Arabidopsis thaliana: one gene and its partners. The protein of the gene in region 1 binds, or shares a complex with, the protein of each later gene. Each region holds a gene or a part of one and is shown on either strand. Other genes may lie near its edges.

Region 1 (9,188 bases):
TTCACAGATTCATGGTACTGGCCTCTTCTGCTATAGATTCCGGCAACAATGTTCAATGGGACGACCGAAGTTGGCCCGCTAGCCCAATCCAGCAGAAGAAGAGCATCATTCATCAGTTGATTTTTGGCGTAGGATCTCATAAGAGAGCTTAAGACATAGTCATTATCTTCATATCCCATTCTCACAATAACAGAGTGCAGCTGCTGTAACTCTGTGACACAACAAGATTTGAGGGCCGTCGAAAAAGTATATTCAGTTGGCCTGAAACCCATTTGAAGCATTTGCAGAAACAAAGAGAGACAAATCGGACCATCCTTATTGGCATAACCCGAAAGCAGCGCATTCCAACAAACAATGTTCTTATCACGTATATAATCGAAGCATAGGCGGGAATCTTCCAGATTACCACATTTAGCATAAAAGTCAATCAACGCATTCCCCAAAACTATGCCAGTTTCGCAGCCATTCTTAATTAGCATGCCATGAATTTGGCGTCCGCAACTCAGTAACTGCACAAGAGAAGAGACACCAAGAACACTAACGTATGTACCTTGGTTCGGGGAAAACCCATGCTCTGGCATACTCACAAAGAGTTTGAGTGCTTTTAACGGGTTCTCACTTTTGGCTGTTGCACAAATTATGGCGTTCCATGACACTATATCCCAGGAACCTGCATCCTGAAACATTCTCTCTGCCATATGCGTATTGCCACATTTTCCATATGCGCTGATGAGAGAGTTAACGACGGATATTTCACAATCTAACCCTTTTTTCGTTGCTGAGCAATGCAACTGTTTGCTAATATCCAAGTCCTTTACACAAGATACACCCTTCAATACACCCAGGAAAGAGCTTTCAGTTAAAGAAGCGCCCATCCTAACAAGCTCACGGAAGAAAAACATGCATTCTTTGAGAAAACCACGATGCCCCAACAAAGACATCATATGGTTCCATGTTTCCAAGCTCTTAAACGGCATATCTTCAAAAACCTGTTCCGCCATTTCCAGCAAGTCAAGCCTCCCATACAAACACAACAAACAAGTACCAACAAATGCATCAGCCATAAACAAGCCATACTTCAAGCTCAAACCGTGCAACTGAGTTCCAGCACGAACATCCAACGATGCACAGGACAATAAACCACTCACTGTTGACTGGTTCGGCAAATATCCAAAATACCTCATCTCAGAGAACACACCCCAAGCTTTATCAACATCCCCGTATTTGCTGTACCCTTTAATGATCGTGTTGAAAGACACTTTATTTCTCTCAGGCATTTGATCAAACACTTTGCCTGCAAGTGATACCTCGCCAAGCTTCTCATAAAGACTGATAATGTTATTGCAGACATAAACTGGCTGCAAAAGAACAGAGCATAAAGTGATGGAGAGAGCGTGAAGAGCTTTGGTCCTTGCAAAGGAAGGAGCTTTTCTGCAGACATTGAGTAAGCTAACTACACGATCGTTGTGATTGGCGAGATCTCCACAGCTGAGGCTCATGCAGAAGGATACTGAAAACAGAGTACTTCCCAGATCGATCTCAGTTATAATTAAGAACTAAGTTTCGTGCATCATGAAGAAAGTTCTAATAAAGGTCTGAAATTTTAAAAGTTCGGATTTTTATAAACATCAAGAACAAAGTTTGAAGTTCAGAACCAGGGAACTAAATAATTGATCTAGACCGCACCGGCTGGTTCAACCACAGTATCACGGTTTTATCTGTCCAATTGACCAATCTGGCCCATATTATTTTACAAATAAGATCTTTCAAATTGGCCCATATTTAACAAAAGAAAATCGAATTAATATTATGGTTTTCTAAATGAACCAAAATCAACTCAACTTTTTTTTTTTGAATAATTTTATTTTTATTCCATAATTTAATTTGTTTATCATTTCCAATGAAATTTTATCATTAATAAAAAAGGTTGCTCTCCTCATCCCTTCCATCTTTCCTTTCACATTTTTTAGATTATACCTCATGTTTGAATAATATTGGTTTACATATCTAATTCATATTGAAAAACCCTCCAAATCTCTAGAGAAAAAGGACGATAAGAGTACTTAACTCACAAAGGGCAAATACCCAACTTTTGAATCTCCTTACATATTTTATGACAAACTATGAAGGTGTCCTCCAAATACTCTTTAATCATCTTTTGATTATCATCTATAATGATTGTTTCTTCAGACCTCATACCCATATCTTCGAGCGGTTTTAGTATCTTTACTGTCTCGTTAAATAGATTCTCATTTACCATTTCTAAGCATTTCTTCTCTTCTATCGTTAGATCAACTTTCAATTTTTGTATGTCTTTGACGGCTTCCAACAAAACTAACAACAACAAAAAGAAAAATCAAATCAAAAGATTTCACTATAAAGAACAAAAAATAAACAAATTGTTAGTTACCATCATAGAACAAATAATATTCAGCTGCCACAACCCTTTTGAAAAGTTGAATACGTTCTGTGCTTTTGCTCATCTCAACAATTTTGATTAAAAAAAAAAATATCTAATGCATTCTTTGTTACAAGGTCGAGATGTTATTTTGTAGCGTATATAGTGTTTGAGGCTTCTTTGTTTGGAAAAGATCGCTTTCGAAAAATAATAATTATTATTATTTTCCATGTTATGCTTCATATAAAATGTGGACTCAGGCCTCCGAAATAACAAATAGAAAAAATTGTGTTGAATGCTTAAAAACGAGAAAGAAATCTCTCAACTTTGATTTACTGGACACGCATTGTATTTGTTTTCTATAATTAGTTCAAAATAATAATTTGTAAATAGTTATCTAAATTCGGTAAAATACAAACCGATAACTTTTCATATCAAATACAACAAAAGTTAGATATAAATCTTAAATTTCTATACTTTAAAATTGAGTAAACCTGAAAAGAATGAAATTTAGTCTACCTAAATTTATTAAAAACCAACAAAATTTTCATAATTCGAACCTTAATTATTTCAGGTTTGAACCGCTTATATTTATGAAAACCAAATGAACTAGCTAAAACGAAAACAAAAGCGAAAATGAACATGACAATTTTGACAATGTTAAAATGTGATTCTTTCATTAATTTGACAAATTCAACAATTCTTAAGAAGATCAATTGAATTGATAAACTATGCTGCTCTTCTTGGGTAATTCTCACATTTTAAAAAAAAAACAAAAAAGAAGAAGAAGTTAATTCTACCTTAATCTGCAACAAATCGTCTTCAAGATAATTATATCACGAATTGATATTTCTTGTCTCTTAATCTTAACGAAGAAACTACACCTCCTGGCTCCTACTGAATGTGCGTTGAACACTCACCTATTGACTCATCTTCACCATTCCTTCTTTCTTCAATCTATCATAGATATAAATACACTTCTTTTAAGTCACCAATCTTGTTTTCGTAATGGTACGAGTCATAAATCTTGATTTGTCTTTGGTAAGTCATGTTTAGTTGTGGATTATTTGTTTTTACGCATTTTCTAGATTTTAAAATTTTATCTTTATATAAACAAAAATAAAACGAAAAACTTTCAATCTTTGAGCGCCAAAACCAAAATTTTCATCGAAAAGGAAGATCAATTAAAATATTATAAAATTTCATAATAATGTCTTCAAAGCACAAAATAATAGTTTTAGTATTAAACCCACTCGGGGAAAAAAAACACATAAAAAAACCAAAATCGATTTCATTGATTTTTTCCATATTCACAGCGAAAGAATCGATCCTTAATACAAAATTCCTTCAAGATCTCACATCTCTTATAAGCTTTCTCGATACCATCATTTTCCTTTCTTTTTTTCTTTTCTTCGATTCTAATTTGGTTCTGCCGGATCTTCAACCTTGTCTGAAGAAGACATTTTCTAGGGTTTCTAGAGATTGGTCGGGTTTTCGGTTCAAGTAAATGGTGGATCAGCCTATCGTACGCTCCACTTCATTAGGTTATCAACGACAATATTCATCATCTAATAATCATCATCAAGGTCTTGCTTCGATTCTGAATCTCTGCTGCTGCTGCTTCGATAGTGTTCTTCGACAATCACCAGGTGTTATTGAAAAGCAATGCTGAGCGTGATCCGAGTGCATCTTCCTTCTGAAATTCCCATTGTGGGCTGTGAATTGACTCCTTACGTCCTTGTTCGTCGTCCCGATAAGAACTCCACCACTGATGACGTCCCTGAATCTGCTCCTCTTGAAGGCTACTTCTTGAGATACAGATGGTTAGATTTCTGATTGGCTCTTTGTCTAATTGCTTTCTTGGATCATTTGGCGAATTGGGGTTTATCAAAGATTGAATTTTGATCTGAATTCAGAGATTTCTCATGTAGATGTTCTGATTTAGGTCGTCAAATGGTTTTTGTGTGTAAAGTTCTGATCTTGTTGTAGATTCATTTTTTGGATTTATTTGTTGTAGGTATCGTGTACAGAGTGATAAGAAAGTAACGATTTGCAGTGTGCATCCAACGGAACAAGCTACTTTACAGTGTGTTTTCTGTTCTAAGCGTAGATCCCTTGTTCCAAAAAGCTATCACTGTTCGCCAAAATGCTTCACGGATGCGTGGCAGCATCACAGGACTTTGCACGAGCGAGCAGCTGCGGAAAACAACGCAAACGAGGATGATGACTTGAACAGGAATAACAGTGCGGGTTCTGGGTCTCTCGCTGGTTCCTTATCTGGGTCTATGTCAAATCTTAGTATTGCCAACAATGGTCCAGCTCCGTTTTATCCTTCTAATATTACTCAGAAAAATGGAGGAGAGACTTTAGTTGAGGTTGGGGGTTGCAAAACGTACACTCCAACAGCTGATGATATTAGCCACGTTTTGAAGTTCGAGTGTGTTGTGGCTAATGCTGAGACTAAACAGATTGTCGGACATCCTAGTACCATTTTGACTTCACGGGTTATTCCTGCTCCTTCTCCAAGCCCCCGTAAGCTAATCCCTGTTAACGGAGCTGATGGGATGGGTCACTTAGATCAAGATGCTCGGATTCAGTCTGCAGGATCATTCACTGTTCTTTCATATAACATTTTGTCTGATACTTCTGCAAGTAGCGACCTCTACAGTTACTGTCCTCCTTGGGCTCTTTCATGGCCATACCGAAGACAGAATTTGTTAAGGGAGATTGTTGGATATAGAGCCGATGTAGTTTGCCTGCAAGAAGTATGTTATTCGTATGGACTTGGTAATGATTTAAAGCATTTTAATTCTGAAAAATCTACTTCTAATGTGTTCTTTTTTTTGTTATCTGGCAGGTACAAAGTGATCATTTCCATGAAATTTTTGCTCCTGAGTTGGATAAGCATGGGTATCAAGCTCTTTACAAGAGGAAGACTAATGAGGTTTGGTCAATGATTCCACACACTCCTTCCTTCAGTGATTTATGTTTTAAAATCTATTAACCACAAATTTCTTGTTGCTAGGTTCTCAGCGGAAGTACAAGTGCCATTGACGGCTGTGCAACATTTTTCCGGCGGGATAGGTTTTCGCATGTCAAGAAATATGATGTTTGTATTCAGTTCTATATGTTTACTTGCTAGATCCAGTAAGATCTCTATACTAATTCATGGACTGTAAATCCAGGTTGAATTCAACAAGGCTGCTCAGTCTTTGACTGACGCTCTAATCCCTCAGGCTCAGAAGAGAACTGCTTTAAACCGACTGGTTAAGGTATTTTTGACATGGTATACAATATTTTTCTGGGCCACAGCTGATTATCAGAGAGTTATTGTTTACAAAACTGAAACCAATGATTCTTATGTTGTAGGATAACATTGCGTTGATAGTTGTTCTTGAAGCCAAATTTGGTAATCAACCTACTGATCCTTCTGGGAAGCGCCAGCTTATTTGTGTGGTACTGGTTCTTTTTTTTTTTCCATTCTCATGAGAACTGTTAGTTTCTGTATATGCTCTTTTAGTGAAAGCCAATGAATTTTCTTATTTTGTTGTGGCAACTTGTTTAGGCAAACACACATGTAAATGTTCAACAAGATCTGAAGGATGTGAAGCTCTGGCAGGTTGGTGTATCTCTATATCCGAAATAAATCAAATTTCATTGAACTCGAAAGAATTAGTATTCACCTCATGTTTTCTTTTATTCTTTTGCGTTTAGGTTCATACCTTATTAAAGGGACTAGAGAAAATAGCAGCTAGTGCCGATATTCCTATGCTTGTGTGTGGAGACTTCAATACGCTTCCTGGGAGGTTTGTTGATTCATAAATTCTTTTGACATGATACATGAAATGCAGAATTCTCTTATGAGTAGCTAAAGTTTTTCTTTTTGGCATTTTTATGACAGTGCACCTCATACACTTCTTGTAATGGGAAAGGTTGATCCAATGCACCCAGATCTGGCAGTCGATCCCCTTAATATCCTGCGTCCTCACACCAAATTGACTCATCAATTGCCTCTGGTAACATTGCTTTTTTCGATTTAAGTAAATTTATACCGCTTATCTTTGCGTCTCTCTTGGATATTTGATAAATGAATTGGTTTCAGGTGAGCGCGTACTCATCGTTTGTGAGAAAGGGAATAATGGGTCTTGGATTGGAACAACACAGAAGGAGAATAGATCTTAATACAAACGAGCCTTTGTTTACCAATTGTACAAGGGACTTCATCGGCACTCATGACTACATATTCTACACAGGTTTCACCATTTTTAACTCCATTGTCCTTGTTTTCAACTACATCAGAAATAACAAGTTAACTTAATTGGAAGATTTTTTTGTGTTTGGGTTTCAGCGGATACATTAATGGTGGAATCTCTATTGGAATTACTGGATGAAGATGGATTAAGAAAAGACACAGCTCTTCCTTCCCCAGAATGGTCTTCTAATCACATTGCTCTCTTAGCTGAATTTCGATGCACGCCTAGGACAAGACGCGGTTAACCGCCTTCACCACCCACCATCATTTGCTTACAGATAGGTTTTTTTTTTTTGTTCCGATCTTCTTCTTTGATCAGACTATGACATCAACTGTTTAGACGAAACCTTTACCAAATCTGTGATAGAGATGACACAAAGATTCAAAGGGATTCTGAGTAAGGCAAACCACTCTATGAAGTTGGTCATTCTTTATTATGACCCCTGTGTGGCTCTGTCTAAACCTCCTTTTATATCTCATTTTGATCCTCAATATAGTGAAAACCCTTTGACTTTTCTTTTCCTTGGATCAATTTTAATGTTTGAACTGCTTTGTATGACTAAATAGCTCATGAGAATAATATGGGTCTACTAGGGGGTTTTCTTTTTTCACATTGAACAAAGAGACGATTCGTGTCTACTACATAACCATTTAAAGAGCAAACATACACATCTGTGGCTGCTCCCTAATAATAAACAATAGAGATAAGTGAGAGAGAAAGAGAACATAATCGGTTCTTGAAGAATTGAAGTTAAAGCTTAGTCCCACGCACTAGCCACTCCAGGACCATACCCTTGGTTAGGAACGGTTCCATATCCTCCAGGACCATAGTAAGCACCACCACCTCTACCATAAGGTGCATAACCACCACCCGGAACATTTCCATATCCACCACCTGGTACGGGTCCGTACCCACCAGGCATTGCTCCATAGCCACCACCAGGAACGCCTCCATATCCACCACCTCCACCATAGTAGTCAGCACCACCACCGCCTCGACTAAAAGATTCTCTCCTGAAGTCACGACCACCAAACCGTCCACCAGACCGCCGGTTCTTACCACCTCCAAATGAAGCACGAGATGCGTATCGAGTCAGCCAGTCAGGGACCTCCTGGTTAGCTTCTTGCATTAGCTCAGCCAGTGGCTTGGCCATTGTTGTGTTGTTGTCATTGAAGAAAGCAGTTGCTAGTCCTGAATTTCCTGCACGTCCTGTTCGTCCGATACGGTGGACATAGTCATCAATGTCGTTTGGTAGATCAAAGTTCACTACATGAGCCACGTGCGGAATGTCAAGACCACGTGCTGCCACATCGGTTGCAACCAAAATAGGTGTCCGCCCAGTCTTGAATGATCTCAGTGCCACTTCTCTTTCCTTGTATGCATAAAAAATACAATAAGGTTTTAGCTTTGGTTGCACTGAAGAATACTCTACAATATCCTAATTTTGATATCAACAACTCACTAACCTGTTGTGACCTATCACCATGAATGGTCGTTGCTGGGAAACCATTGATGCACAACCAATTCTCCAAAGAGTCAGCTCCCTTCTTTGTCTCCACAAAAACTAGAGTCAAAGCTTGCTGTAGAATAAAATAAATTGGATTGTAAAGGTGCTCTTGAACAACAATGCATCAAATAGAACAAAGAGACAATGAAACAGAATCGTGAAACCGAAAGGAGCAATAGTACTGACTATGTTCACTTTTAACCATGAAACCAATCATATTGATTTAAATTACCTTTCCTTGGTTACCATTCTCCCTCTGGGCATGAAGAAGGTCCATTAGATGGCTTCTTTTGTCAGAATCATGAACAAACTCTACTCTTTGGACAATTAAATCCGTACTTGAACCCACTCTTCCAACAGCCAGAAATATGTAATTTGAAAGAAAATCAGATGCAAGTCTCTGCACACAAAAACAAAATCATAATTAAGTGCATATGGAATGTAAAAGATTCCTTTGCTGCACAGTACGCAACTTCTATCTTGTAATTTTAAGAGCCAAAATTTTGGTAGTGTCAACTTAAACAATAAACATTATTTAGACAACGAATTGAACCCTCCAGTAATAAAGGAAAACAAGATTATGTACCGATCATCCTTCTCATTTCCCAGACCTACCAAATCTCACTCTTTTCTTCAGTTATAGAACAATCACGGACCTACAACAAGCAGCTACCCTTAGTTCCCTCTTACTCCCAAGTATATTAAATTTCATTGAAATGAATCGCTATCTTGTTCTTTCATATCACTAACATAAGAACCGCTATATTCTTCCTCACTCCATGCAAATATCAGATCATTTACACAAGTTAAGGATAAGTGCTCGGTCAGATTTATCCAAGTTGATTTAAAAGATAATAATTCTCAGAACAATTGTACTGGAGACCCAAAAGACCCAAATAACGTAGTCCCATAACAATGAAGACACTAACAGAGCAAGAAAGACTGAAGATAGAGATAGCTGAGAATCTTCTCCGGTAAGGAGAAAACATAGAAATGGCATGTGAACGAGTTCCACAAACCTGTATCTCCC
Region 2 (7,032 bases), on another chromosome or scaffold:
TATTATGTTTTGAAGTCCCTCCTCCTTCTTCTCTGGTCACTTACTGTCTAACTACACTTAGTTAACAAAGTCATATCTGTACTGTAATGTAAATATGCCCACACCATTAACCTCTTCTGTCACTTGTGATGATGATTCAGAACTTAGGTATGAATTTGAAGAACACTGTCGTTAGAAGGGGTGACAACAGGCTGTATTTTGCTCGGCAAGCATCTTCTGCACAAGGTTTTTTTATGAGACAGGCTTCGACTAATGAGGTACCATTAATTTCTTATTATTATTTTTCAAAGTTTCTCTTCTCATCTATACTTCTGTAAAAGAGAATTGATTCAAAATGTTTTTTGCAGAGGACCATACCACATGATGCTGCTGCATCTACCAAGTTTTCTGCTACCAAAACAACTGGCTTCGATTCTTCTTCACCTGCGTACGCTGCACCACACTTTTCTAAGCCTGCAAAAGAGGACATCTTTTTTCCTTCTTTATCACCAAATCTGCAAAAGGAAAGGCCTAAGCTTGATCTTCCTAAGTTAGCCAATTTAGGTACGAATACAAATATAGGTGTATTCCACTCCAATAACACTACTTTTCTAGTCCTATTATAACCTGATACTTTTCTTAGAGAACTTAATGATTTCTGTAGTTTACAAACACACAAATATTACTAGGTATAACTACTAAAGGTGGTTTCTCACCAGCCTTGATCTACAGAAACTAGCATCCGTACTTCAAACAAATCCGTACAAATGAACATGAGAACTTACTTAAAGAAGTTTTTTTCCTTTTGCAGGTACTGTTTGGTCTCCCAGATCGAATGTTGCTGAATCGACACACAGCTATGTTGTGGCAATAGAGCTACCAGGAGCCAGTATCAATGATATAAGAGTGGAGGTTGACAACACAAAGTAATCCTGCTGATACACATCTTTTTTCAATCTGTTCCCATTACTCACACAGTAAAAATGCATTGTGTAACAAAGGTACTTACCGTTCTGCTGCAGCTTGACTGTGACAGGTAGACGCACATCTATCTGTCAAAAAGTTGATGCAGGCACCAAAGCTTCGATCCTTGGATATCATAAGCAAGAAATACTACAAGGACCATTCAAAGTTTCCTGGCCACTCCCCAGCAATGTGAACAAGGATAATGTTTCCGCTGAATTTATGTAAGTAGAAGCTATACTTACTAACAATCTAACCGTATGATCAAACAACTATTCTCCTTAAATCTTTCAATCCTAGAGTTCATATGATAGATTCTGCCTGTAGGTTTTAGCTAGTAGTGCACACCTAAAAAGTAGTCGTTTTAGAATCCAATTTTACATCTTAGTGCCAGTCAGTCATTAGCTTGAATTAGTTTAGATAGAATTTAGCAAGTTTTATAAAGAGCACTAACATCCAATTTATTATTGCGTTTGAAACAGGGATGGGATTCTGAGAATAGTAATTCCAAAGCTTTGAGGGTTCATCGTTCTGAAACCATATATAGATACGGTAAACATTGTGTGTGATATAGCAGTTTGTGTGGAAAAGAAAAATATCAAATCATGAAGAAAGTTTGGTCTTTTATGTAAAATAGTTTGGTCTTTTATATATCACAGATTGTAGACAGGCATTACTCAAAGTGAAGCCATGTAAACAATCCATAAATATATAAAAATAAAATCTTCATTACTACTACCAAAAGCCAGAAAAGAAAAAGAAAAAAAAAAGAAAAAAGCTCAGAAGCATCTAATCATCCTAAAGCTGGGGAAATCTCAATCTACTCAACTACGTAGCAAGCATTATTGTTGTAATAATTAGGAACTGGTCCAAGATAATCAACAGTAGCAGATGGCGTCTGAGACGGGTATGCAAAAGTGCTTGCAGGTAGATGAGTAAGCTGCACATACGTACCGGTAGCATTACAGAACGCCCATGGGGCACCTGAAGGATCGTAGGAGACAAGCTGAGGCTGCTCATAGTTCTGGACATATCCATTGTGGAACACAGGATATGAAGCTACATTCTGCTGGCACATCAAAGGAAGAGTCGGCTCTGGCACAGGCGCAGGGGCAGGGGCGGCAACGAGGTTGCTTTTCCCAATTCCATAGATCAATCCTCTAGCAAATCTGGAATCTTCATAGACATGTTTAAGCTTGATGAAGACAAGTGCAGTCATTAAGCTGTCTGAACCAGCGTGATGTGCTCTTCCCACACGAGTGATCTGAAGTAGCTGGGCTAGTTTGCTTAACCCGAGGTGTTCACCTAGTCCTTCACAGAATCCAGCCATGACCTTGGTGTCGTAAACTTGACCGAACACTTTGACAACCTCTGTTGCAAACTCGCCGTGAGTCTCTGGTAGCTTGCCATGATTGAGGATACTCAAGAAGTAAGCGAAATCGTAAGCTCCTTGGAAAGTGACGAACTCAACGTGTTTCTGAGAACGAAACACAGTCATAAGCTTAGGGAAAAACCCGTAGCCGAACATATCAACTCCTTCGTCTCTAATCTTCTGCAAATCCAAACCATGCCTCCTCAAGAATTCGATGGAAAGCTCGTTGCGTGTGTCTGATGGGTCGCCGAAATTGGAGAAGTTAATCTCCCAAACACCACCGATCTCTCCCTTGGCGTTGAAAAGAGTGAAACCACACTGGATCAGCTTGGTGTTCTCGACATTACCTTTCATGGCTCTGTAACATTCGTCGCTAGAGGAATCGAAATAAGTGCGGAAAATAATGCCAGGGTACTCTGTATCGAAAGCGATGAGTGGGAATCGCTTGAGACATTCGGCCATACGAGCCATCTCTTCATCGACGTTGCTTCTCCATACTCTCCTCGCCAGCGGTTGATGAATCTCGTTCATGATGATGATTTCTGCAGATAATAAAAATTAGGGTTCTTTTCTTAGGAGGGAGAGGCATGAATACGAGAAGTCTTTTTGGTTTGATTGATTGTGTGAGAGCATTAGGGTTCTTTATAAAAAAAAAGAGAGTATTTATCCTTTTCTTAAATAAATTCGTGTACCTGAGTTTCCTTTTTTCTCGGATTTTTTCTAATTAATTAAAGATACATAGCTTAAGCTAATAGCTTGCTCTCCAATTAATTTTAACGCGGTGTTGATCATGACGGTTTATATTCTCTCTGATTATAATTTTATTTGTTAATTTAATTTCTGTTAAATTTAATTTAGAAATTATCTTCTTCTTTTTTAATTTTCGTTAGGAGTTAGGAAATTCTTGTAGTTATCTTTTACTTTTTGCTACTATATGGTGCTTTTACTCTCTTTTTAACCAATCCACAATTTCCTTTTTCCGTCCCAAAAAGTAAATTACATATAATTAATAGATAATGGCAAAACTTCCAATACAAGTATTAGATTAATATGTAAAATGAGTATCAATTAGTGTTTAAACTTTTGATTTTAAACACTAAGAACTTGAATGGTTATTGTTATTAGATGCTTTGACACTAATTATAGAAATCGCATCATACCATTTTAATTCTTTGTAAGTCAAAAACTTATCCATAACATTAAAATATTTTGTTTTATAAAACTTTATATTTGACAGCATTTATCCTCTCATACCAAAAGTTTATGATATCAAACTAGTATAATTATTTACTAGGCTAAACTATTATTGTATGTGTTTTATTAGTTTAAATAAATTTTATAGCGGTAATTGATTCGCTTATAGATGTGTTTTGGTCTTGGACATGAAAATACAAAGGTCCATATAATTCTTCTACTTCATTTTTTAATTTCGTTTTTTCCCTTAATGCCTGTTAGGTGTTCGATATAATTCCGCAGAGAGTGTGGGTATATACAGCGACGTTGTGGAACGCGGAAACTCAAAATAGCTCCATATACTCTTTGAGATACTATGAGGTTCCTCCTCATGAGATCACTTCTGGTTCACCCATGTGGTGGCTCCATCATCAATGTCCGATCAACGACTACGTCTGCTCAATATGTAGCTTCCAGATCAAGAGACCCTGTTTTCGAGAAGCTCATGGACAAATACAAGAACCTTCTCAAGGTCATTGCCATACAAGACCTTACCCTCGCCAATCCAACAGCTGATCCTCCCTCTCTATCCATTGAGTTTCTCTCCAGGCTCTCCCAGAAGCTCCACCTTAATCGTGGCGCTGCTTCTTTCCTGCGAAAGTATCCTCACATCTTTCATGTCTTGTATGATCCTGTGAAAGCTGAGCCCTTTTGCAGGTTAACTGATGTAGCCATGGAGATTTCTCGCCAAGAGGCTTTGGCTATCACTGCTACTTTGTCTCTTGTTGTTGACCGGTTGGTTAGGCTCTTGTCTATGTCCATATCAAAGTCCATTCCGCTTCGTGCGGTTTTTAAGGTTTGGAGAGAACTTGGGCTCCCAGATGATTTTGAGGACTCTGTGATCTCAAAGAACCCTCATCTTTTTAAGCTTAGTGATGGTCATGAATCCAACACCCATATCTTAGAGCTGGTTCAGGAAGAAGAGAAAAGACTGGAATTTGAGGCCGCGGTTGAGAAATGGAGGGTGGTTGAGTGTTCTAAGGAGGATTGCAGTGTCGATAGAACCGAGATTCAGTTTAGTTTCAAACATAGTTACCCACCAGGAATGAGACTGAGCAAGACATTTAAGGCTAAAGTTAAGGAATGGCAGAGGCTGCCTTACGTAGGGCCATACGAGGACATGGTTGGTAAGAAGAAGAGTAGATCCGGTGTGATGGGAATAGAGAAAAGAGCGGTTGCGATTGCTCACGAGTTCCTGAATCTGACTGTAGAGAAGATGGTGGAGGTAGAAAAGATCAGCCATTTCAGAAAATGTTTTGGGATTGATTTGAACATAAGAGATTTGTTCTTGGATCACCCGGGCATGTTTTATGTGTCAACTAAAGGGAAAAGACACACTGTCTTTCTCAGAGAGGCTTATGAAAGAGGACGTTTGATTGATCCAAATCCTGTTTACGATGCGAGGAGGAAGCTTCTTGACCTTGTTCTCTTGGGACGCCATGCTGCTTTATCAGAATCTGGGAACACTAGTATGTCTGAACAAGAATGACATTACGATTTTTCAGGCCCTATTGAGTCTGAGCTATGCAATCTTCCATATGGAAGTGTATGAGACACTTGAGAGATTAGGTCCACCAAGAATCAGGCAATGTTTCTATGGCGTTTGTCCGAATTTCGGACTAATTGGCTTGCTCACAAGCAAAAGCTCGAGATAATCTGAAAGCAGGAAAAGCGAGTTACTTGATGTAGCGTAAGTGAGTACTTGGATCAATACTTGTCTACGAAACCAATGTAGGAGTAAACGGTCTTTGTTGTGTACTTTTTTGGTTATGTATTGTCGACAGAAAGGTTAGAAACTAGTATCCAAACTCAATACGTCTTCTTTCTTTAGATTTTGCTTGGTTGCTAATTGCTTCATGTGGCTTTCCTTATTCTACTAAAACTCTCATCTTTGTTCTTGTTCTATTTTTTACTTTTACATCCTAATTTTTTTGAAATATTATTTTTTGGAATAAAATTTGAATTCTTTTTCTTAACCTTTATCACTACCAGGGTTTAAATTATAAGTTTAATTATATAATGTAAAAATTGTGAACGTTATTTATGTATTGAATTTTTGATGGATGGTTTTTGTGGAAAAAATGGTTATAGAAAAAATTGTGACAAGAAATGAGTGAAATAAAAACCGAGAGCCCATGAAAGGAAGCCACGTAAGCTGTTCGGAGCCACATCTCTTGTCTTCAAAAGTACCAAACTTCATTTGCTTCTCCAAACAAACAATCTCTTTCTCTTCTTCTGCCAAATTCCACAGGTGCGTTTCACTCTTAGCTCATCTGTGTAATCTCAAGCATTTTCTGCTTTGTTTGGTCTGAATTTCTGAAATCTTTTGATGATAAAAATTTCTATGAAATCTCGGTCTGCTTGTTGCATGATTCTTACTACCTGGGTTTTGTTCAGCAAGTCTATTTGTCTTTATCTGTTTTCTTCTTAATTTGACTTTAGGAATGTCTAATAATGGTGGATTCATGTGTTGAAATATAGACTAATGTTATATCCAGTGGCAATTTCTACAAATTTTTTTATCTTGGAGCATGAAAATGTTCCAATCTTTCTTCATATGCGTCGCTAATGATCGCTTATGTTGATTATAGTCTTACCAGAAACTTGCATGTTGTTAAAGGTCTCGTTTTGTTTGGTTGTTCTTTGTTCAGATTGTTTTTTTTTGTTCACGCCATGGCTTGTAATCGTCTGTGCAGATGGCTGCTTCATCGGCTTGTCTTCTCGGAAATGGATTATCTGTCTACACAACCAAACAGAGGTTCCAAAAGCTTGGGCTTGATAGGACATCTAAAGTTACAGTTGTGAAGGCTTCTTTGGATGAGAAGAAACATGAAGGGAGAAGAGGTTTCTTTAAACTCTTACTAGGAAACGCTGCTGCTGGAGTTGGTTTGCTTGCAAGTGGAAACGCTAATGCAGACGAACAAGGACAAGGGGTTTCTTCGTCTAGAATGTCTTATTCTAGGTTCCTAGAGTATTTAGACAAGGGAAGGGTTGAGAAAGTAGATTTGTATGAGAATGGGACTATAGCTATTGTGGAGGCCGTTTCTCCTGAGTTGGGTAACCGGATTCAGCGTGTACGTGTGCAGCTACCTGGATTGAGTCAGGAGCTTCTCCAGAAGTTGAGGGCTAAGAATATTGATTTCGCAGCACATAATGCTCAGGAGGACCAAGGTTCTCCAATACTCAACTTGATTGGGAATCTTGCATTCCCTGTTATTTTGATTGGCGGTTTGTTCCTTCTCTCGAGAAGATCCTCTGGTGGAATGGGTGGCCCTGGTGGTCCTGGCTTCCCACTCCAAATTGGTCAGTCGAAAGCAAAGTTTCAGATGGAACCAAACACTGGTGTAACTTTTGATGATGTTGCTGGAGTCGATGAAGCCAAGCAAGATTTCATGGAAGTGGTGGAGTTTCTGAAGAAGCCTGAGAGGTTCACTGCGGTTGGTGCCCGGATCCCAAAAGGTGTTCTTCTTGTTGGTCCTCCTGGT
Region 3 (8,451 bases), about 15 Mb from region 1:
CTTTATGTTAAGAAATCTTACGTTTTGAACAACAAACAAAATCTTACGTTGAAGATTTAGATCCAACACACACAAAAAAATCCGGTTTAAATCTATTGGTACACTCAGGATCTAAAATTTGTAAACTAAAAAACAAAAACTTTTAAGATTCAACTATCTCTTACGTAGGAAAAAAAGAGAAGAGTCAATTTAAGTGGTATATATCATTTTCCATAAAAAGTGGGAAATCACATGGGTTATATATTTTCAACGTAAGGAAGTGAAAGGTCGAATCCATCACATCTTTTTTAATCATAATTGAGAAAGTAATCAAACTTAATTACGATCTTCACGAAATGGCAACGGGTAGGGGATGCACCATGCACGTGAAGTTCACGGAGACAAGACATTTCTTGCCTGTTGGCTGTTGCACTCATTACAACCTTTATTTCTTTGGCAAACACTCAATACAAACCTTAAATTTCTGGATCTCCACAAAATAGTTATATATGTAGGGACATAGCCCTGCATTGGATATTTTTTTTTGTTTTTTCCTTGCCACCTTACTGGCTTTAGTATAACAAACACATTAACCTCGCATTTTCCTAATCTTACGTGTAACATGAGCTCAGAGAAGGGTAATTGCATAACATATCATTTTTAAATACTAAGTAATAGCATAACATTTGTCATGATATTACAAATTATATAATTTTTTGTAATGTTTGGGTAATTATATAGCAACGGAAAGGGATGCTTATGAAAAGGAAGGATAGAGACTTCCTTCCTACATAGATGTAGGAGCAGCAAAGATCAAATGTGACCTCTTTATGGGTGAGATCAGTGCCATGGTACATGTTAGAGAGACCCATCTGAAAGACCCGAGAGGAAGTCCAAGTCGCGGCCACAAATAGGTACATGATGAGTAAGTCCAGGGCCAATCTTGCATGATAAAATATAACAACTTACGTAATATTTATATATAGCACATGTTATTTTTCTCTATGTTTTTAGCTTTCAAAATGTCGTATTTTCTGATACATGCTAGCTAGAGTTTTTTTTTTTTTTTCAAAAATTCTATTTTGCAAACTAACCTTAATAAACGTAGCACAAATTCATTTTAGGACAGATATTTCATACCAGGCTGGATATACAAATCCATAAGATATATAAAACACTTCTATAGGAGAATTCAAAAGACTATTTTTCCTAATCTGCCTAATCGAAGGCAGCTCAACCGAACATATATGAGAATTCTATTAATAGGTTAATATGTTTTTCTATTTTTGTTCAGTAGGACATCTTTTATATTTTGTAATTCGAACTATATGGGTCGGAAGTTGTGGAACCTTTTTATGTGTTCACTGGTTCATCAGCCCTACCAGTTTGCATCTAATTATTAAACTAAAAAATGAGACTTAAAATACATAGATGATTCAATTCTTGAGAGAAAAATGAATTTTGCCATGATAACGTAATTAAACTGAAACAGTTATGTAATACTTACTAGTATTGTTCTGCAATTATGGTTTGGTCCCAAAAAAATAACAACATAACTCTCCTGTCTCTTTCATGTTAATATTTAATGTTCTGTTTTGGACATGTCCTCTTTGTGTGGAATTTACCATGAAAAATCAGGAATTGGGTTGACCCTACGAAATGAAGACTCTTTCATTGAGCACAAACACCAAAATCTAGACATTTTTTTGTTTGTTGTTTTGGCGTTTCTTTAAGTTGAACTGGTGAAAAGAAAATAATTACGAAACCTTTTAGAATTAAAAAGAAGACAGAACCCGACTAAACACTTTTAAAAGTCCAAAAGAGCTGGATCGGTTCCATATGCTTTTTGCCCAGTTAATTCTTTTTCTATCTGACATCTCTCAAAAATTTAGCTTAGTAAAACCATTATACCATTCCAAAATCAAAGTTATGTAGCTAATACATCAAATCCTCATCACATTCTAACAGACAACGACAACAACAACAACAACAGAAACATAACTGATTAAGGATTTGGATGGAACAGCAATTTTGATGTAATAAGGATTTAGTTGTTTCTTTAAGAAACATTTGAATAGATGAAAGATACATATAATGCTCAATATGGCTGCTTCTCTGGTCCACCATCATGGTATATAGTTATTAAACCAAAGACAAATGAAACATTTTCATAATGCCAGACCAAACCAAACCGAAAAATACATGAGAGAAAAAAAGTCAAAACAGCATCAAACATCTGTTGGGCATTTCATCGAACACTTTGAAGGCATGCTACCAAGAAATAAGCTAAACAGATTCTTCATTGATCTGAATAAGATTTTCTTCTTCTTGTCTCTTCTGCATATCCTTCTCGTATTGATTCAACGCTTCCTCCATCCTCATCTGCGTAAAACCCAACAGTCTAAGGTCGAGCACAAGCTTTCTCATAGGAAGACAGAGAGAAGAAACAGACCTTGTAGCTAACTTCGATGCGATGCATTACGTAGAATCCGAGGGCCCCGCCGAGAAGTGTTCCAGCTATGATCCGTGCGTAACCCCATGTCATTGAGCTCAACGCCATTAATTTCCTCACTTTCTCTTGTCTCTTCTTCCTTCGATTCCAACTTTACAGCTCTCAATCTCTTTAGAATTCCTTTTCATTTTACCGGAACCAAGATTAGAACCGTACCAATTGGTTCAATTCTTTCTTTTTGGTACATTTAAACCAAGCTTATGTCCGCTTCGGTTTAGATCCAGAATCAAGTAAACTGGTTCTCTCACTTTAAATTACGTTCGAAGAAGTCGATTTAATATCCTAGTGACCCAATACGCACACAAGATTGAAGCTTCTGATCGTCTCAATTTTTATTTATTTATCGAGAAGTCGGTTTGATATAGAACCATGATCAGGTAATTTCGGTACGCTTATACATTTAATAAAAACACATTTATAACGGTTCGGTTCAAAGAAAACTAAGCTGGCACTAGATGCCTTTAACCGTCCGGTTCAAAGACAAATTCAGAAACAAGAGCCAAGTGATCGCTTCCCAATTCCTGCAAACCAAAGACGAATAAGGCTTTAAGCATCAATCATAGAAATGACCTCACCAAATCTAAACTGTTTGATAGAAAGACATACTTGACAAGGAAGGCCTTTGGTTTTGCATAGAACATCAATAGGAAGTGTGTCAAGAACTCTTGCAGGTAAAAGACCATCAGAGTACCTTAACCAGACCACACATGTATTTCTAATTAGTTACTTCATCAGCCAAATATTAAATTTGTCCATTTGAGTTTTGGTTGTGTTTAGAATGTTTTACCAGAGATAATCAACCGTTCCGAGAAATTTCGAGTGATATGAGGTTGCTAGAGGTTCACCAACAGAGTCCCTGGTATTTGCTGAGCCCTGTTGTGTACCATGTTCATGAGCAAATTTAAGGTCTTGTCATATATAGACAGGGACATTAAAGCTTTGTTTGTTACCTTAACTGAGGCGTATGAGCTATTGAGTTTCAGAGGATGCGCAGCCCAGTACGAGTTCTCTTGCCCGGTTGCGACACGGATCTCTTCTTTTGTCCAAGAGCTACAAAAACTTCTACTAGTGTGTGAACACAATGGCTATTCCAGCAGGCAGTCACAAGACAACCATTCACAGAACTGATTAAATCTTCAAAAAACAATCTTACCTGAAAGTTATTGTATTACTGGATTTGCTACCAGTTTCAAGAACTTTGGTAGGACGACAATTTTTCTGGCCGGACAGCTCTTTTTTGTCATGTTCCATGACATTCAGCTGTAAGATAGAAGCATAATCCTATTTAAAGAAACTACAAGAGGACACAGTGTAGTTTGACTGAAGCAAAACTATGAATAGTCATACCTCAGAGGACGCCAAGAAGTTGTACAATGGACTCTACACGTAATAAGATAAACTCAAACAATGAATAAACAAATACACAAACCAAAGTGGAAGAGTTTATTTGAAAAGATACGTACCTTGGGAGTGCTATTGAAATCTCCGCATAGAACAATGGGAATGTCACCCCATTTCTTAGAGAGCAAGTGAGCCTTTGAGCAGAGTGAACGGACCTATCAGTCAAGAACAAGGCAAATCAGGAACTCAAGAAAAAACATAAGCCACGAATTCAATACGTTTTCATGAGCATTAGGACATATACTAATGAACATGTCATGACATATACTAGTAACTTAGACTTGTCTTAGATATTTAAACTAATGCTAGTAAACATCTCTTGACTGAGATTCAGTACAATTTCCTGAAGTCTTAAAGCCAAAGGTGAAAGGGCCAGATCAACATTTTGTAAACTTTCATGACAGTCAATTGCTCGTGTAGCGGATATACAAATTGAAATGTCGAGGCTTACCTGACCCAGCTTCACATCTCCTTGATTTGGATTATAAAGCACGTGAATGTTACCCAGCAGTATCTTTCTTGACTTATTAGACTTCCGGAGCTGACGGGAAACCCAAAAAAAAACTGGATCAGTCAAAGCATATACATGAAAAAAGAAGTTCGTAAAACATTCAAAAAAAATTTCTACCTCAAGAACAGCAAGCTGTGCAACATTATCCCGCATACCAAACTGGCTAAACTCAATGTTTTCCCTCTCCAAAACTCCAAACCTTTTGAAAACAAGATAAATCTTAAACAATGCTGAGTTGTAGTAGTCGTTTTTCTTCACACTAATACAGATTGAGTCAAACAATATGTGCTACCTGTCAGCCTTCCAAAACATTGCGCAACCATCGACGTTATCTCCAGTTCGCCGCTGCCATTGCAAAGCTTATATTTGTAGTCCTTCTATATAAACACAACTTTTGTTGAGGCTTCAGACGAAAAGGTAAATAAAACCAACCGACAAACCATGTCTTACATTTTACCCCATTAATCTTATAAGCATAAAATTTTTCATTGAACAAGGAAATACATCAACCTTATAGGAGCCAGCATATCCAGCTTTCTCCATCATACTGAATAGATCAAAATATTTATCTACTTCCTACAAAGGTCCACAAACAAAATCAACTTAACTATCTTAACACGATATAAAACAAGGTAAAGTTCATTACCTGCATAGAGATTATGTCTGGATTGAGACGAATGAGTTCTTCGCATATCAACCTTTTGCGGTAGCCCCACTTGAGGTAAGGAACAGACACATTGGAGTACAACTCTCTGTGATATGATGAATTTCCATCTCCCAATATGTTGTACGACACTACAGTGAATCTCTCTAAAGCTAATATTACATAGAGACACACTAGTAAGATCCAAAGGCATCCACAATTTCACAAGCTTCATGGACAAACAGTAACTCAAGCTATTACTAATATCTCTAATTTACTAAATCCTAACTAGTTCACAAATTCATAAGTAAGAGCAGAGTTTTTCCATAAGATCATTATTAAACTACCTTGAGAAACTGGAGTTGTATCTGAATCGATCCAATCACGAGCAATCTGAGAAGACGGTATTTGATCGGGATGTTGACGCCGGGGAAGAGGATTCTGCCATCTACGGCTGTAAGAGCGATTTGAAGATGATTCGGGATTTGAATCGGACGGTCCAGATGTGGAGGAGGAGCAACACACGAAAGAGGAACGGAAAGATAGAGACGATAAAGGACATTGATGGAATCCAGATGAAAGGTGACCACCGGAGGGTAAGATACGGTAAGCTTCGCTTGGCCGTGACCAAGAACAATCAACGCGATTCACACAACGCATTCGATTTTGTGGATGTTAGAGACGAAATTCAGAAATTTGGATGAAATCGAAAACCACACAAACCTCTTGGCGCCATACGGATAAATATCTTTTTTTTTTTCTTCCTTTGGTCAGAGAAAAAAAAATACCAAACCATGGGCCATGGGCCAATACTAGTATACTACACCAGGCCTTGTTTAGCTGAGATCCTGTTTTTTGTTATTCGGATTTTTTGTTTTAATGTCTATTGTTTTTTTTTGTGAGTTTGATTTCAATTTATGTCATTTTGTTTCTAATTTTAGTAGGATGTCAGTTTTTATTTTAGTCTAGTTTTATCATGTTAAGAACTTGGAGATGATATTTGATTTTGAGTTATGAGATTTTGTTTTTTCTTTCATCGTCCTTGTAATTTTTTTTTGTTTTTTCATATACTATGATATTATTTCTACTTTTATTGGAGTATCAATTATTTGATTTCAAATTTAGTGATAGTAGCTCAAAAAAAAAAAACCTTACACAAAAAAGTATATGTCTTTTTGTGTAAGGCGATTACTGATTACACACACAAAAAAAAAAATGTCTTCGTTTCTACCTTTTTTTTTGTTGCAATATTGCCTTTGACAAAGAAAAACTCTATGATTGCGTCTACATTATAATGTTCTTTAAACTTTACTATAAAATATCACTAACTAATCTTGAAATACAAATTAGTGAAGGCATATTGTTAAATATAAAAGTGTATGCGATTTAAAACATTACTGATTGAATTGCATAATCTCATTTTATGGAAAAAAAGTAAAGTAGGTATAAGAAAATGGATATAACAAGATTAAAAACAAAAGAGAAATAAATGACACGCAACAACCAAAGCCAAAAGGGTGCGTTACCATTAATTCAGGGAAAGCGAAATAAACCCAAATCTCTCTTCTAACGAAGTAACAACTCACCCACTTCTCACATTGATTCACTCCTTTCCAGTTTTTACATATAGCCTTCGTTCATCAATCACCTTAAGCAAATTGCAATCACAAAAAAAAAAAAGTACAGTACTTAGCAAAATTTTAAGTTTTTGTTATTTCCACGGCAACTTAGCAAATATGCACCACATATTGACATTAGCTAATATACAACACATGTTTTTTTAGAAATGTACAAGCATTAACAAATATCCAACACAAAATGACATGATCGTAGATGATTAAGATAATTCGATCCCTATAACTAATAGTTTCCAAAACTTCTGCTGACTTTTCTCTCGACAGCGATGGTAAGAAGAAGGTACAAAGTTTTGAAGCCCGAATATAACAAAAGGACAGAAAGCTTTTAGTTTTCTAGATAAGATCTTAGCTTTGGTCACGTAAAAAAAATTAAAAGTGAATTGGTTAACAATATAGGAGTACTTTGTATCCAAAGGTCATTGCAATAAATAAACACTTAAGTACTCTGTAGTCACACATCTCTAGGAGCTTAATATTGGATAATCGCTTGTAGACTTGTATTAAAATATTTAGTAGGTCAAATCCCTATCTTCTACAGTTTCTACTCTCGTCCGTACAGACTACAGACACTATGCTATAGTTTTGTGTTGAATTCTACAAAGTACAAATTCTTCTTTCGGTGCCAATAACAAATAAACACAATTCTCAAATTACATTTGTCTAAATTTTTATTTGATTCGGTATAAATGTAACGCTATGTTGGGAATCATATGATAAATCCAGATTAAGACTTCTTATTTAATTTATTTTTGTATATATAAAATATAATATCCAACCATAAAGTTTTTTTACCGATCGATGATAATGTGAATCCAAATATTTTAACAGGATGATAAATAATTGATGTGGCTTTTATAACCGCAGCAATTCTGGCGTGACTCTCTCCGCAGCATTTATTTTTCTCTCTATAAATTAAAAACATTACTTACTCTTTCTCTCTTCCACTTAACTCATATCAACCTTCGCCGGAAATAATGGCTTTCCCGCGATTTCTTTCTCTCCTCGCCGTCGTCACTCTCTCTCTTTTCCTCACCACCACTGATGCTTCCTCTCGCTCTCTATCCACTCCACCTAAAACGAACGTACTCGACGTCGTTTCATCTCTCCAGCAAACACAAACTATCCTCTCACTCGACCCGACTCGTTCCTCACTCACCACCACCAAACCCGAATCCCTATCCGACCCGGTTTTCTTCAATTCATCTTCACCACTATCTCTAGAGCTTCACTCTCGAGACACTTTCGTCGCGTCACAGCACAAAGACTACAAAAGCTTAACACTCAGTCGACTCGAGCGCGACTCATCCCGAGTCGCCGGAATCGTCGCGAAGATCCGTTTCGCCGTCGAAGGAGTCGATAGATCCGATCTCAAACCCGTTTACAACGAAGATACACGATACCAAACCGAGGATCTAACGACACCTGTCGTCTCCGGAGCCTCTCAAGGAAGCGGCGAGTATTTCTCAAGAATCGGTGTCGGAACTCCGGCGAAAGAGATGTACTTGGTTCTCGACACCGGAAGCGACGTAAATTGGATCCAGTGTGAACCTTGCGCCGACTGTTACCAACAGTCCGACCCGGTTTTTAACCCGACTTCGTCTTCCACATACAAATCTCTCACTTGCTCTGCTCCACAGTGCTCTCTTCTCGAAACCTCCGCTTGTCGGTCAAACAAATGTCTCTACCAAGTTAGTTACGGAGACGGATCTTTCACCGTCGGTGAACTCGCTACCGATACGGTGACGTTTGGTAACTCTGGTAAAATAAA
Region 4 (6,986 bases), on another chromosome or scaffold:
GAAATCTGGCAGAACTATCTAGATTGTTGCGTCCTGTCTTACTCTATTTTGGTTTTAACAGGATGATATTGAAAAATTAGTATCAAGGCTAGAGGAAAAAGTACGAAGCTTAGCAGAAGGATCCTGTATGGATGCTATTATTTATCCTCTTCACGGTTCTTTGCCCCCTGAAATGCAGGTAACAATTTCTAGAATCAGAATATGAGTGTCCATTCCAGATTTTTGCTTCTGGGCAATTGAGATATCTAGGTGATGTAAAAGGTTTTGGTAATTTGCTTGACTTTCACCATTTCTGCAGGTTCGTGTCTTTAGTCCTCCTCCTCCAAACTGCCGCAGATTTATTGTTTCTACCAATATTGCTGAAACTTCCCTTACTGTGGACGGGGTTGTGTAAGTTACTCAAAACCTTAAGTTTATAGTGTTATTTTTTGTTTTCATGTCTGGTATCTACCGTAAGATTTACTGTACATATTGATACTTTCATTACGATAGTGTTAAGTCAGGCCCTGTAAAAAAATGAATAAATTTATCATTCATACTAATCATGAAGACTGCAATCGTGTAATTAGGTGCAGTAATGGATTTAAGCAGATATATGATACCGGCTTAATGTTGTTTGTTATATTCCTCGCTCCTTTAAATTCACTTCACATTTCAGTACATGTTGTTCACAATCACGTCTATGAGATCTACTTTTGGAGTTTAACTTGAAACAGACGATTGAGACATTTAATTCTACATGAATAGGTCGTACTGTCTCTTTGTCAAGCTATCAAAACTGAATGTAGTATGAGAAGATTCCTTATTCTGTGATGTTACTGTTGCCAAAAGTCGTCTTTGTTTGTATCATTTGTTCATATCTGCATTTTAAGCAAAGTTCTGATAATGTTTTGACAATTTGGAGATCGATAGCATTCTCAGCCTAGTCTGTTTTCTTTGACAGGTATGTAATTGATTCCGGGTATGTGAAGCAAAGACAATATAACCCATCAAGTGGAATGTTTTCTCTTGATGTTATTCAAATTAGCAAGTAAGCAAATGAATCTTGGTTCAATACCTTCATTCATTCCATTAGATTGTTTGCTAAATATGAACCTTGTAATAATCTATTGGTGCATATAATGAACTTGTAGTTGATGTGTGATGATTTATAGCCGTAACTAGTAAAGATATCCGCAGTTGGCTCAAAAAGGAATTATATTGGTTCAATAGGACCTCATCAGATTCAGATATTACATTTTTTAATCAGGAATCCCAGTGGTTTCTTACTCAGGTTTTCATCAAGCTCCTATTTGCTAACTGTACTTTGAATATTTTTCTGTTTCACTTTGTTTTTCCAGAGTGCAAGCTAACCAACGTGCTGGACGTGCTGGCCGAACAAGACCGGGGAAATGTTATCGTTTATACCCATTGGCAGTCTACCGAGATGACTTCCTTGATGCAACTATTCCTGAAATCCAACGAACTTCTCTTGCCGGGAGTGTTCTATACTTGAAATCATTGGATCTTCCTGATATTGACATTCTCAAGTTCGATTTTCTTGATGCTCCTTCATGTAAGAACTTATTTCTATCCGGAGTTTAATGTCTCTTATAAAGCTTTCTACAAAATCAATGGACTGATGGTTTGTCATGCACAAACTGCTGTTTTTCTTTTTTTTGCTTGTGATACTTTTGAATTTTCCAGTGATATAATATATCTCTGGTTTTTGTCCTGCATATAATATTCAGCTGAGTCATTAGAAGATGCGTTGAAGCAATTGTATTTCATTGATGCAATTGATGAGAATGGAGCAATAACAAGGATTGGACGGACAATGTCTGGTATGTTTAGCGCAGTTTTCTTCTGTTTGATTTTTTCTAGTTTGAGCTGCTATCTCATACTGACCATATTTGTGGTTCAACAGATCTTCCACTAGAACCATCATTGTCAAGAACATTGATAGAAGCGAATGAAACCGGTTGCTTATCTCAAGCTCTAACAGTTGTTGCTATGCTGTCAGCAGAGACAACTCTTCTTCCTGCTAGGAGGTTAGTTTTTACGATATACAATAACCTGGGTCAGATTGTGAAATGTTTAAAATCACATTGACTAGATACAGATGCGTCAACTCTTGTCTTTATGGTTTTTGCTTGCATGATAGTAAACCCAGTGAAAAGAAGAGGAAACATGATGAAGATTCTAATCTTCCTAATGGATCCGGATATGGTGATCACATTCAACTGCTACAGATTTTCGAATCTTGGGACCGTACTAATTATGATCCTGTATGGTGCAAAGAGAACGGCATGCAGGTAATTGTTCCATTTTCTTCCTTCCTTCCTTATCTATTCTCGAGTATTCCAAGTGAAAAGCATGGTGACATCAAAAGCCTTACTGCATTGTTACTTCAGAAGGTGGTCAGTTATATGCTGTCTCTGCAGTTAATACAATCTATATAGCATAGAAAATCCCTTCATTGTTGAGACCTGACTCCGATGGGCGTCAATGTTTGTATTTTCTGCTTCATACAGTTTTATAACCAACAATTATGGGAGTTACTGAAATTTACTACCTTTGTTTAGATAGTCTATTTCGGTACATTATTACGTGGGTTCCTTATGCCAATAAGAAAGATAACTTTTGTTGAAAAATAATTTGCAGGTGCGAGGGATGGTGTTTGTCAAAGATGTTAGAAGACAGTTATGTCAGATTATGCAGAAAATATCCAAAGGTTAGATTGTTTCATGACAAGAAGATTCCGTGAAAGAATATATAATTATTTCTCTATGGCTTTCACCCTAAATGGTTATGCCTCCAACAGAACCAGAGTTTATGTCAACATCACTCTTTTATCTTGTGAGATGTGATAGGTGGCTGTGTCATACCTAACCAACCGTCACTAAAATATTTGGTCTCCTTGACAAACTAGATCGATTGGAAGTTGGGGCAGATGGTAGGAAGAGTTCAAGCCGAGACGACTACAGGAAGTTGAGGAAAGCTCTATGCGTTGGTAATGCAAACCAAATTGCTGAGAGAATGCTTCGTCACAATGGATACCGGACTCTTAGTTTCCAGTCCCAGCTAGTCCAGGCATTACTTCTCAATCCAAGTCTCATTTATCTGTTACAGTGTTAGATTTTCTATTACATCAGTAGCTCAGATATGTAAGCATTTCCAGTTTCGTATGATCATCGACATATTGACGTTTTTGGTTGATTCTAGGTGCATCCATCATCTGTATTGAGTGCCGACAATGACGGAATGATGCCTAACTACGTAGTGTACCATGAGCTGATTTCCACCACACGTCCGTTCATGCGGAATGTTTGTGCAGTAGATATGGCATGGGTGGCTCCCATCAAAAGAAAGATCGAGAAATTAAATGTCAGAAAATTGAGGTAAAAACAAACATTACTCTTTACTAGTTCAATCCAGTCTTGTTCTAGCTTTTTCTTGTCTGGTCTTGGATTCAGTAATTGATCGGTATCATTTAATCTGCCATGTAGCGGTGGACCGGCTCCCTCTTTCAAAGTACCTGAGGAGAAGACGGAGTTGTCTAAAAACAATGCAGAAACACCTGCAGTTTCTGAAAATGTTGAGAGTCGGATTGAAGCAGCCAGAGAACGCTTTCTTGCTCGTAAAGGACAGAAATAAATTTGATGTCTCAAACATAAATACAAGATTCAACTAGCCCTATAAAGAATAGAAAAGAGAAGCTTTCTGTAGAAGATTTGTTATTAGAGACAATTTTCAAATTTTGTATGTTCTGTTTTTTTTTTTTTTGGCTCAACTTAAACTTTTCTTTATTCTCATTCGACATGAGTTTTAAATTTTTAACCCAATTTGGTATGTTCTTAGTATTATGTTTAAAAGATGATAATGTTTACACGAAAAAAGAAAAGAAAAAGGTTTTGGTATTAGTCAGACTTCGGTTTAGTGATTTAATTCGGTTTAGTATTAAAATTGTAAACCGCTTCGGAAACAGGCTTCTCTTATTTTGGGCTTTTGAGAGGAAAATGGAAATCTCGTGTCCAACAAGAATTAAATTAGGAGTGATAAAAGTCAACACGAACTTTTTGACTGGAAAAAAATGGAAACTTTCCGGCGACGTAAGAAAAAAGGAAACTCCCACTGCTATTAGTATTCGAGTCTCCGAAATCAGATAGAGAGAGAGATTAGTATTTCAGATAAACAAACTGTTTCAGTCTTCAAAATCCGAGAGAGATGGGTGAAGTTTGGAGATGGAACAAGGAAGTAGAGATGGATTCGATAAGAGATTGTTTGAAACATTTTAGTTCCATCGCTATCGACACAGAGTTTCCCGGATGCTTAAAGGAGACTCCGATGGACGCGAGTGAGGAAATTCGTTACAGAGACATGAAGTTCAATGTGGACAACACCCATCTCATCCAGTTAGGTTTCACGCTATTCGACAGAAGAGGAATCACTAAAACCTGGGAAATAAACTTGTCAGATTTCAACGAACATAAGTGCTTCAAAAACGATAAGTCCATAGCTTTTCTCAAAAGCAATGGTCTCAATCTGGACAAGATCGGAGAGGAAGGTATTGGAATCGAAGAATTCTTTAGAGACTTTTCTCAGATTCTCAAGGAGAAGGACGGAAAGATAACTTGGGTGAATTTTCAAGGCTCTTACGACAATGCTTATCTCGTTAAAGGCTTAACGGGAGGGAAACCGTTACCGGAGACTAAGGAAGAGTTTCACGAGACCGTCGAGCAGCTTTTGGGAAAGTTTGTTTTTGACGTAAAGAAAATCGCTGAATCATGCAGCGGACTAAGTAGCCGATTCGGACTACAGAGAATAGCTGATGTGTTGCAGATGAAACGTGTTGGAAAAGCTCATCACGCTGGCTCAGACAGTGAATTGACGGCTCGTGTCTTCACTAAGTTGACTTTCGATTTGCTCAATAGTAGAAAGCAGTGTGTAAGACGAGTTGATCATCAGCAATATCAACTAGAGCAGCAGCAGCTTATGATGACTAGATGTTACATCCCAATACCGATACCTATACCGAGACCGAGATCGGTGATGTTTGCTGCTCATCACCCGAACCCGTATTTTGGTGGTGGTTACTTTGGGATGCCGGTCCAAGGAAGGAACTACGTTTTGTGATGCCTGAATGTTTGTTTAACATGACTTGCTCTGCTATTATGTATAATTTCTAGTTTTATCAGATGTTTCTTTAAATACTAAAGATTAACTTTCATCTTTTCTTGTCGATCAAAACAATTCTCTCAACTCTCATATGACACAATTTCTCTTTACTGGATACTTTCAATGAATCTAGAATACAATACAAATAAATTTAAATATCCTAAGAATCTACTCAAAGCCTCTAATCTTATGTTATGTAGCTAAAGCTGCGTTCCTGTCAACAAAATTGAACAACTCTGTTTGTGCCGCTTCCATTATCACTCGGAAGTCTACGTTCATATACCTTCCCCTGCAAAGCCATATTTCAATTAAATCACATGTACCATCACCAAACAATAACTTGCATGGCTTGGTTTAGCTGATGATGATGAATATACCAGAAATGAGTCTTGGACCAGACTGAATTCGGAAAAGCTGGACTTCCAACTCCGTGCATTATTCTCGCGATGGCTCTTGGTGTGAATTTGGCTTGGCGATTACTCTGCAAAAACACCTGTTTTGACACACAATAGTTAACTGGACATTCTTTGGATACATGGCAAAACAATAAAGTATGAACAACAGTGTGGCTTCTTGGATCTTCACCTTTATGTCTGCTCGTAGAAAGGCGCTGCATCCACAATACAAGCGTTGATCAATTTAATGGAAAGATGACTTTGACAAACAAATAATATGTAACAACCGCAGTTTTATATTTCCTTATTCGCTATGCAATAATCGAAATTTGGAATCTATGAAAACAAGTAAAATATTTTGTTAGTACCAATTTTGAGTAGCCTTGCTCGGACTGTCACACTTTTCATCACCATTGAAGTAATCAAAGATTCTGCTTTGCAGGCTCCGAGTTTGCTTGGCACCAGAACTCAGTTCTGAAGTGTTAGAGACACTAATCGCAGCCACAGCTGCACTAGACATAATATCCAGTTTTCTCACCTATATCAGAAGCAAAAATTATTGCTACATATAAGCACAAGCGTTGGAACTTAAATTATGCAGTAGATCAAATTGAAGAACTTACTTTGCAACTTTCAATCTCTGTGAGCCACTTGGTTAGATGACTGGACAATGAACATATTTCCTTTGGAGATTTTAAGATTGTGTAACAAAAGGCGGAGTCCTTCAATTCGTATGTTACTTCCCCCTTCATCTACAAGTACTCAACATCGTTAATTAGAAATCAGGAAGATAATTAGGATTCAAGTGGAACACACACGAAATAGTTCTTAACAGAACACAAGCAATTAAACAAATAGATGACATATGATCCACCCTTAGATACATTTCCCTCAGTACAGTTGTATTTTCTCAGTAAACCCTACATCAATAGTCCATAGAAAAAATTGAACCAAACTTTATCACAAAACGATACTAATTAAGTATATCTTCTTATATTGTACTATAGTTATATTCCTAAGGGTAATTTATGTGTCTATCAGTTCTTTGCTGTGGACTTAAGTTTCTTCGTCACTTTTAATCCGTGCAAATTCAATCATGGCTCGCTTATTTAGATAAATATGCTTATTAAGATGAAATGAAAATTGAGATATCTGGTACTAAGCCACAGATTCATATTGGAGAGAGAAGTGTTATTAACCTTCAGAGCTTGAATCTCAGCCAAGACATCTGTTGTTGCAACACATATGCTAGAGGCCACAGCTGGTATATCAAAGACATGTAACCCTTGCTTCACGTGAGACCTAAAAACAACAGAAAATTCTTGAGCATTGCTGCAACTTTAATACTTCTACAGAATCGCTTGACCAGAAAAGCTGGAGAAAATGAATATACACTTACTTCTTCAAAATTGCTGCAACTATGGCACTTCGTGC

What was found.
Region 2: AT3G58580 (region 1) and AT1G06450 share a complex: the UniProt entries of both Arabidopsis thaliana proteins name them as parts of the CCR4-NOT complex.
Region 3: AT3G58580 (region 1) and AT3G18500 share a complex: the UniProt entries of both Arabidopsis thaliana proteins name them as parts of the CCR4-NOT complex.
Region 4: AT3G58580 (region 1) and AT1G27890 share a complex: the UniProt entries of both Arabidopsis thaliana proteins name them as parts of the CCR4-NOT complex.

What each region holds. Positions count from the first base shown.
Region 1 is NC_003074.8:21,658,573-21,667,760, reverse strand, and holds AT3G58580 (DNAse I-like superfamily protein), read left to right. Parts: upstream 1-3,665; 5' UTR 3,666-4,063; coding exon 4,064-4,221; intron 4,222-4,415; coding exon 4,416-5,163; intron 5,164-5,255; coding exon 5,256-5,342; intron 5,343-5,423; coding exon 5,424-5,507; intron 5,508-5,583; coding exon 5,584-5,670; intron 5,671-5,767; coding exon 5,768-5,854; intron 5,855-5,963; coding exon 5,964-6,017; intron 6,018-6,112; coding exon 6,113-6,204; intron 6,205-6,299; coding exon 6,300-6,414; intron 6,415-6,500; coding exon 6,501-6,651; intron 6,652-6,746; coding exon 6,747-6,895; 3' UTR 6,896-7,163; downstream 7,164-9,188. Other genes in the region: AT3G58590 (Pentatricopeptide repeat (PPR) superfamily protein), read right to left, coding at 1-1,499; AT3G58570 (P-loop containing nucleoside triphosphate hydrolases superfamily protein), read right to left, coding at 7,409-8,023, 8,118-8,231, 8,391-8,558, 9,178-9,188. UniProt on the Arabidopsis thaliana protein: Acts as a catalytic component of the CCR4-NOT core complex, which in the nucleus seems to be a general transcription factor, and in the cytoplasm the major mRNA deadenylase involved in mRNA turnover.
Region 2 is NC_003070.9:1,961,737-1,968,768, reverse strand, and holds AT1G06450 (Polynucleotidyl transferase, ribonuclease H-like superfamily protein), read right to left. Parts: upstream 2,930-7,032; 5' UTR 2,846-2,929; coding exon 1,763-2,845; 3' UTR 1,550-1,762; downstream 1-1,549. Other genes in the region: ACD32.1 (alpha-crystallin domain 32.1), read left to right, coding at 141-257, 348-543, 791-905, 1,002-1,166, 1,425-1,461; AT1G06440 (Ubiquitin carboxyl-terminal hydrolase family protein), read left to right, coding at 3,864-5,036; FTSH8 (FTSH protease 8), read left to right, coding at 6,244-7,032. UniProt on the Arabidopsis thaliana protein: Ubiquitous transcription factor required for a diverse set of processes. It is a component of the CCR4 complex involved in the control of gene expression.
Region 3 is NC_003074.8:6,349,799-6,358,249, reverse strand, and holds AT3G18500 (DNAse I-like superfamily protein), read right to left. Parts: upstream 5,779-8,451; 5' UTR 5,707-5,778; coding exon 5,394-5,706; intron 5,220-5,393; coding exon 5,050-5,219; intron 4,980-5,049; coding exon 4,914-4,979; intron 4,749-4,913; coding exon 4,696-4,748; intron 4,603-4,695; coding exon 4,521-4,602; intron 4,434-4,520; coding exon 4,344-4,433; intron 4,048-4,343; coding exon 3,955-4,047; intron 3,872-3,954; coding exon 3,839-3,871; intron 3,752-3,838; coding exon 3,645-3,751; intron 3,554-3,644; coding exon 3,442-3,553; intron 3,365-3,441; coding exon 3,279-3,364; intron 3,183-3,278; coding exon 3,098-3,182; intron 3,013-3,097; coding exon 2,953-3,012; 3' UTR 2,804-2,952; downstream 1-2,803. Other genes in the region: AT3G18510 (ATP-dependent helicase/nuclease subunit), read right to left, coding at 2,266-2,361, 2,432-2,539; ASPG1 (Eukaryotic aspartyl protease family protein), read left to right, coding at 7,658-8,451. UniProt on the Arabidopsis thaliana protein: Acts as a catalytic component of the CCR4-NOT core complex, which in the nucleus seems to be a general transcription factor, and in the cytoplasm the major mRNA deadenylase involved in mRNA turnover.
Region 4 is NC_003070.9:9,712,265-9,719,250, reverse strand, and holds AT1G27890 (Polynucleotidyl transferase, ribonuclease H-like superfamily protein), read left to right. Parts: upstream 1-4,074; 5' UTR 4,075-4,206; coding exon 4,207-5,115; downstream 5,116-6,986. Other genes in the region: AT1G27900 (RNA helicase family protein), read left to right, coding at 62-178, 299-390, 944-1,030, 1,341-1,555, 1,731-1,823, 1,907-2,030, 2,144-2,294, 2,644-2,713 and 3 more; AT1G27880 (DEAD/DEAH box RNA helicase family protein), read right to left, coding at 5,350-5,446, 5,535-5,650, 5,743-5,767, 5,921-6,090, 6,176-6,304, 6,752-6,854, 6,952-6,986. UniProt on the Arabidopsis thaliana protein: Ubiquitous transcription factor required for a diverse set of processes. It is a component of the CCR4 complex involved in the control of gene expression.